2 linked regions of the Schizosaccharomyces pombe genome follow. The gene in region 2 interacts genetically with the main gene of each other region. Each region holds a gene or a part of one and is shown on either strand. Other genes may lie near its edges. The genes, in order: tfs1 and rpb6.

Region 1 (4,164 bases), on a different chromosome or scaffold from region 2:
CGTGGTTTTGATCGTTTACGTGAAGCTGGTTTTACAGAAACCGAGGTCAATAATTTGCGTAGCCAATTTCATCGCTTACGAGGAACTAATTTGGATTCACTCACGGAAGACGCTATCAGAGAGGCAGAAGACGATTGGATTGACAATGGAGGACAAAACTCTTCTGCCGACGAACTTGACATGTCATATGAAACCTTGTTGGCTGGAGTATTAATAGGCTTTTTTGGAGGAGCTATTGCTTGTTATTTTCTTTGGGAAAGGACAATGTTCTCTCTGAGAATGCAATTATCCATTCTTGTCGGAATTATTTGCAATTTTGCATACGGCTTATTACACTCGTATCGATGGTAAACCCGTTCATTTTTGTTAAAATTTTTGTCCAATACAATTAATCGTTCCACTTTTCGTTGCACTTGTTAATTATGACTACAGTTTAATTGAGGATTAATAATGTCGAATTTTATGATCTATTCGCTTTGATCAAGCGTTAACTTATTAAATGTACGTTTAAAACACCATTTGGATTTATTAAGAAGTGTAAAGTAGGATAACTGTAAAAGTGTCGTATTGAGTGTGCAAAAGTAAAATATGCATATATTCATCGCTAGAATGAAAGATACCAATCAGATCCTAAAACAAAAAAAAACACACACAATAGAGGAGAGTGCTTCTAAAACAATAAAAAGAAGAAGAAATATGAAGGATTATTTTACAACCGGTATCTAAATGGGCTGACCCAAGATTTAAGAAAATTTCCAGCGATTTCCGCAAACAGTACATTCACAAAACTAAAAAAAAATTAGTCCAAATATTCTACCCAAATAGACTAATGCTTACCGTTGTCATAGGCTCATCAGCAGATCTATACGGATTGTTAATAAATTTTACGCGATAAAAAGTACTAAAATCATGACAAATAACATACCTTGTTTGCATTTGGTAATAAGAAACTTTTTTTTGCTTACACTTCCCACAAGTAAAAAGGTCTGTAACAGCTTTTTGGGGTTTAGCACCTTGCGCATGGAATAAATTTTCTTGTTCTAGCTTGGCATCTTCCTTGCGACGGTCTTCTGAAGCCAATTCGGCAGAAGTCATGGTACTGAGTCTTTGCGGAGTAATTTCATTTCGTAATACTGATGCTCTAAGTTTCGGGTTATTTTTATCTTTAAGATTCATATACAAGGACCGCATTCTGTTTCGATATTCAGAACCAGTTTTACCTGCTGCTCTAGCAAGTACTTGCGCATCAATTTCTTTGGCTTTGGCTATTATTAATGAAGAAGATTCATCCGAATCTATGACTAATGCATTGTACATTAATCCAATACAGTTGTTGCGAATCTTGTCATCAGTCACATTGACGTTCACATTATCAGATTTAAAAGTACGCTGACCACTGCTGCTTTGTTTTTGAACTTGTTTTTGAGCTTGAGAACCTACATCCGCATGTTTAGAAGGCGTGGAGGAAGTTGTAGTTGTGGTTTTCAATGGACGACCTTTACTAACATCGGCTTTCCATTTTTTTACAATTTCCCGAGCTTGCTCACCAACTTTCTCATTGGGATGAGATCTGAGCTTGCCAACGACTAATCCCAGCCGGGTTTCCTAGCATCATTGGTTAGTATTTTGAATACCGATTCTCCATCAAATGTTGGTACTCTTGTGGAATTCGTATTTTAAGAAAGATGTTATTTCTATTAAGTGAAATTTGCAAAATTCATGTAATATATTGTCAACAATCCGTGCGAGAATACTACCATATTGCATGTAATAAACCTACCTTAAGTAATTCTTCGGTAGCAACTACTTCATTTTTTAAACGTGTCATAATGTTAATTATAGTCTAGCTTGATATTAGCTTCAAAACCATCTGTAAGTCCCAATAGCACAAATTACAAACCTCTATATTCTTTCCCTGAATAGCTTTTTCCAAAGCTGCTTTCGCAGATCGGATATCAGCAGAGTCCATGATTCAAATTAAGTTCGAATACTGTAAACACTGCTGTTGGTTAGCAGATTGCAAAATTAATAATCTTATGGTGGTAGAGGATTTATTTTGGATAACGCGCTTTACATCTCACATGTCTACTAATACCGTTGTGATTTTTCTTCACCACCATAGTTGCTGATGTGAATATCAACACCCCGTAACGTGATTTTGTTAGTTGAATTCTTGAGTTTGACAGTTTTTTTTTCAAGTTTGCAAACTGTTTTCTGTTTATCGCATTAGTACTCGTGTTTATTTTACAACGTTAAATTTTCATGCTCCTCCGCTGACTTGATCTTACTCAATTGTTAATTGTTTTATCAGCTTTGTTTATGAAAAGCAAAGATTATAATGTTGTTTGATCAAATTGAAGAAACTTGATGTTCAAGAATTTAAAAGTTTGATATTCAGTTTATTTTTGAAACTTACTTTGGTCTATGTGTTCGTTCGTTTTCATAAATTTAGTTTCATGATTGTACTGAGAGACTCAAGTGACTATTCCGACTCTGAAGTAGACCTGCCAAGTATCGAGGTGAACGGAGAACGAGGAAATGTTCCTACCTCAGTGCTTTGTAATGTTGAAGGATCTTTGTTGAATTCTAATCCTGCTTTAAGGCAACCAAATTTGAAATGTATAAAACATAATCAAGACGTTGAAAATACTACGTTTCAACTAGACTTGCGAGGCTGTAGGGTTCCTTCTTCTCAACCTCAAGTTATAACTGAGTTAGAAAACAATATTGACATTCCAAAAAATATTGATGCAATGCAAAACTGGATTTTTCCACAGACTCAGCAGTATAGAAATTATCAAAAGGAATTTTGTGAGCAAGCATTATTCCACAATTTATTACTGGCTCTACCTACTGGGTTGGGAAAGACATTTATTGCGGCAGTGGTCATGTTAAACTATTTTCGTTGGTTTCCTGAAAGCAAAATAATATTTCTTGCCCCCACAAAACCATTACTGTTGCAACAAAGAGTTGCTTGTTCCAATGTAGCGGGAATGTCACCAGGTGCTACCGCTGAATTGAACGGTGAAGTATCACCGGATCGTCGACTTTTCGAATACAATACGAAACGAGTATTTTTCATGACTCCACAAACACTCCAGAATGATTTAAAGGAACATTTACTGGATGCCAAAAGTATTATTTGCCTGATATTTGATGAAGCTCATAGAGCTACTGGCAACCATTCGTATGCTCAGGTTATGAGGGCAGTGCTTAGATCTAATAGTCATTTTCGAGTCCTTGGTTTAACCGCAACTCCAGGATCTTCTACCGCCTCTGTTCAAAAGGTAGTAGATTGCCTCCATATCTCCAAACTCATTGTTCGCAACGAAGAAAGTATAGATATTCGCTCATATGTTTTTCATAAAAAGATTCAGTTGATTAAGGTCACGATCTCCTCTGAAATGAATATTTTAAAATCGGACTTTGCTAACCTATACCGGCCATATTTTAATTTTCTCCGTCAAAAAAAACTTATACCTATCAATTGTGAATGCCTTAATATAAAAGCTTATACGCTTTTCGTTTCTTTACGAAAGTATTCCTTTAGTTCAAAAAATGTACAATCTAAAGAAAAATCAAAAATCATGAGTTGCTTTACGCTATTGATTTCATGTGCTCATATAACGTATCTGTTAGATTGTCATGGGATTATCCAATTTTATCAAAAGCTTGTGGAAACTAAAAATAAAGCTGAAGGAAAAGGGAGTGGACAAAGCTTTTGGTTGTTTACTAGTAAACCGTTTGCTTTTTATTTAGAACACCTTCACAATAAAATTCAAGGTTTGTCATTAAACCATCCTAAAATGAATCATCTTCTTGAACTTTTGAAAGAACATTTCAAAGATACTTCTGAAGGCTATCAAAATCAACGAGTTATGATTTTCACAGAATTTCGAAACACTGCTGAATATATCACAACGACATTGTTGGCAATTCGACCTATGGTTCGAGCTTCTTTATTTATTGGGCAGGCGAACTCGGCTTACTCAACTGGCATGAATCAGATGCAACAAAAAGAAACTATCGATCAATTTCGTGCAGGTGTTATAAACACGCTAGTTGCTACATCAATCGGCGAAGAGGGTTTAGACATTGGTGATACCGATATGATTATTTGCTATGATGCTTCATCTTCACCGATACGCACGATTCAAAGAATGG
Region 2 (3,728 bases):
GGCTTTGGTAGCTTTTCCGTATTGGTTTCTGCAGTAATGTCTTTGAATTCTTTATAGATATCTGGTAACTCAGGTTCCTTGACAATATTTGAAACTTTGTTCATTTGAGAGAGCGTGTGTTTACTGCTAGATATTTCAATGTTATTGTCATATAATGTTGTGAAGGAGATAGCAGCTGGATGCGAAAATTTCTTTACAACCAAGAATTCTGTTTTGATTGATATTCCATTTAGACTTATGTTAAGTTTTATTGTTTTGCGATTAATCTTATTTGGATAAACTCCACCATATATCACACTTTTTGACCAGGGTCTGGTAGGCAGTTTATGTGCTCGAACAGTTTCTTCTGTTATAATATTTGCTTGAGCGCCCGTATCGATTAGACAGGGTATTGAGCACTTGAAGTCTGGAAGTTCAGCTTGTAATACCATTTCGTAACGTTTCCTAGTATGATTTAGGAATTTGTTAGATGAGTATTCTATTCTCGAAACATTTGTCTTCCTCAGGTTTCTGCTATTAGTGGTGTTATTTTTCTTTGAAAGGGACTCTTTTCCTAGATTTTTATTTTGCGGTTGAAAACGCTTGTGAGTTTTACCATACGAGGCTGTTCTTTTGTCCTCTAAAAAGTCATAAATTTCACTGATTTCTGATTTCCAGTAATTTCTTTCCTTTAATTTCCTTAAGGAATATGGCAGCATCCATAATATAAACAAGCGAGTATGGAAATCATCAACATTTGCTTTTGACATGAGTTTCCTTATAAATTGAACTTTGTCCAATTGATTTCTAAAACCTTCAAATGTTTTAGTTAAACGATCACCTTTGTTGGATCCTTGTACTTTCCCTGTTTGTCTGAGTAATTCTTGCCATGTAAGACTTCCATTCTCAGAAAACATGCGTTCAGCGAATTGTTGCTCTAATTCTTCTAGGTGATTCAATGTATACTGTCTTTTAGTATGCTCATTTGGGAATAATGAAGGGTATTCAGTAAAGTGTTGATCAAGTTTTGAAATGTAACTTTCAACATCCTTATTTGGATCGAATTTCCCTATCTCTGGTACATGCTTCGATAATATTTTTGCAAAAAGGTTTATTAAATGTTCGTCTGATGTTTGAATTCCATCCAAATTCTCTGGTCTCCATCGTTTTGCTCTTGCTTTCATATAACGATAATTTGCGTAGGACATTGTATATGTTTCCCTTTGGGAGATTTCAAAAGGGATAACAGTCCTTCCAAAGTTCCTTCTCCTTTGAACCCAGAAGGAGAGAAATATATATATTTATGATATATATTTATTCAATAATTCCTTTTTCCTAAAAGGAGTTAATTGTAGATCACAAGAGTTCAGTTATTGTAAGCTACGCAGTTTGGTATCTGATTTAAGGATACGTAGAACTGCGGTGAGTTTTCCTTGTGATCTATTATATTACGATACACAGGTTGTATAAGTAGCAACTGAGTATAGGTATTGTATTAACTGGGTTATAATGTTACCTATCACTAATATAGCTCATAACTGAACTGAGGAACGAGGTTCAGCAGTAGCTCTATTTATAGTATTCAGATAATATTGATCTTAATAGATTATCATTAAGATCAATCTCCATATCGTATCATACATGGTACGATATATAATTAGAACATGTGACATATAGTGATACTCAACGTAGTGTATTATAGCGTAGTGTAGTATTGCTGACATTAAGTTCCTTTTAAGAGGGTTTACACGTTTGATGAACTCATTAACGATGCGTTGGGATGCGACAAGTTTAACCTGAGACGTGGTACAATAGCTAGTAGTTAATTTCTACAAAGTAGCAAAGGTAACAGACATGCTTATAGAGAGATGATAAAGTAATAGTAACAAATAGACTCTCAATCAGTCAATTTTATCAAATTAAATTATTGATTTAAAAAATAATTTGAATAATAAAAGAAAAAGTCTCTGAAATGTTTCAGTGGAGCGTGCGTTCGATCTTTCTATGAATTAAACATATAAGATGTAAATAGTGCATTGTAGTGTAAAGTAATGAGATTTAACACGGATTCACAATTCGAACGCTGACTAGGTGTATGAGAATTTCCTCTGTCAACTTCCAATTTTTTAGATTCGCCCTTGTCCCCCTTTTCTCCTTTGGCAATTGCATACAAAATGTCTGACTATGAAGAGGATGAGGCCTTTGGAATGGACGGTGCTGTTATGGAGGAGGAAGTCGATGAACTGGAGATGATCGATGAAAATGGGCAATCACAGCAAGGCGTCTCTCATCCTGGTGAACCTTCGACTACCGTTATTACTGAAGATGTTGCTAGCTCAAAAACAGCTCAATCTGGTAAAGCGGTAGCAAAGGAAGACCGAACCACTACTCCTTATATGACAAAGTATGAACGCGCTCGTATTTTGGGAACTCGAGCACTTCAAATTAGGTGAGTAGATGCGTGGATTTACAATAAAGCGTCGTACAAAGGCACTAGCGTAATTGCTTAAGTCCTGAATCGTTATGCTGTTTTGCAGTCATGGAGTTTAAAAAAAAACGATATAGTTAAAAATTTTTTTTTTATTTTCTAGTTAGGATTGTCTGATTATGATGAATTTTGTTTCTTTTCAATTGAGCTTTCTTTTAATTTCTAACTCTTTATTTTAGTATGAACGCACCTGTTTTAGTTGATTTGGAAGGTGAAACTGATCCTTTGCAAATTGCCATGAAGGAGCTTGCACAAAAAAAGATTCCTCTACTAGTCCGGCGATATTTACCCGATGGCAGTTATGAAGACTGGAGTGTAGCGGAGCTCATTTAATTTAAGAAGTGTTCCAATTTCAAATACGTTCTATCGCTCGTTCGATTCACCTCGTTCTTTTCCTAATTCTTTTGTTTTACGTGAGCGAAGCCGTTTGGCTATGGTAAAGAAAAGAAAATAAAAGCAAAAGGACTAAATTTTTAGCTCTATACCATTAATTTACGATTTAGAAATAGGGACGTATTTATCCTCGGGAGAAAAAAAAGGCTTGTGCTACTATTCTAGAAATCTTCTTTTCTTGTGTCAAAAAATTTTTTGGGGCATTTTAGCTCTCGTTCTTCAATGAATGCATTTAATAATAACTTTTTCCGATAGTTTTAGTAGCTGTGTAAATGTAAACTCATTGATCACGGAGTTTTTTGTACAACTGTTAATCTGAAAAAAATTCTAGAGCACAGAAAACTCAAAATTGCTTACTACACACCTATCATTCAGATATGTTCAAATGTTCTATTACTATCAGTTTCAAAGCATGGATTGCGAAATTTACAAGGTATAATATCTAATGAGTGTGCTCATGAGATGGATGCGAATGTTCACCAGAAGACCCATTTAAGTGTTGCCATCTATGAACCTGATTAGAGTCAGAGGAAAGTGGTGTCACGATACAACTGGAAAGGGCAGGGATAGCATCCAAAACAGTCTTTTCTACCTTTTGTGCCAATTCGGACGACTGTTGAGATGTGAAGGATGGAGGAACAGATATTATCACATGCATGGCATGTGCATTTCCTAATATAGTAACGATTTTATATGGAAGCTTTTCTCCCTTCAATAAAGCATCAGTTACTGCGATACGTAACTCTTCGGAAGGTGCTCGGTCCAAAAGCTGCAAGAAGGCCTTTTTAGAAGAGTTGAAGCCGGCACTAAAAACGACAATACTTACTAAACAACCAAAAAACGGATCTAGCCATGGAGCATTAAGAAA

The links.
Region 1: of rpb6 (region 2) and tfs1, extra expression of one rescues a mutant of the other (dosage rescue), as found in Schizosaccharomyces pombe (one study listed by BioGRID).

The regions. Positions count from the first base shown.
Region 1 is NC_003424.3:2,114,413-2,118,576, forward strand, and holds tfs1 (general transcription elongation factor TFIIS), read right to left. Parts: upstream 2,045-4,164; 5' UTR 1,970-2,044; coding exon 1,901-1,969; intron 1,844-1,900; coding exon 1,781-1,843; intron 1,606-1,780; coding exon 926-1,605; intron 863-925; coding exon 838-862; intron 789-837; coding exon 744-788; 3' UTR 501-743; downstream 1-500. Other genes in the region: protein dsc3, read left to right, coding at 1-351; ATP-dependent 3'-5'-directionality DNA helicase fml2, read left to right, coding at 2,457-4,164. UniProt on the Schizosaccharomyces pombe protein: Necessary for efficient RNA polymerase II transcription elongation past template-encoded arresting sites.
Region 2 is NC_003421.2:780,948-784,675, forward strand, and holds rpb6 (DNA-directed RNA polymerase subunit Rpb6), read left to right. Parts: upstream 1-2,089; 5' UTR 2,090-2,153; coding exon 2,154-2,428; intron 2,429-2,646; coding exon 2,647-2,800; 3' UTR 2,801-3,130; downstream 3,131-3,728. Other genes in the region: Tf2-12 (retrotransposable element/transposon Tf2-type), read right to left, coding at 1-1,187; mmt1 (mitochondrial iron ion transporter), read right to left, coding at 3,303-3,728. UniProt on the Schizosaccharomyces pombe protein: DNA-dependent RNA polymerases catalyze the transcription of DNA into RNA using the four ribonucleoside triphosphates as substrates.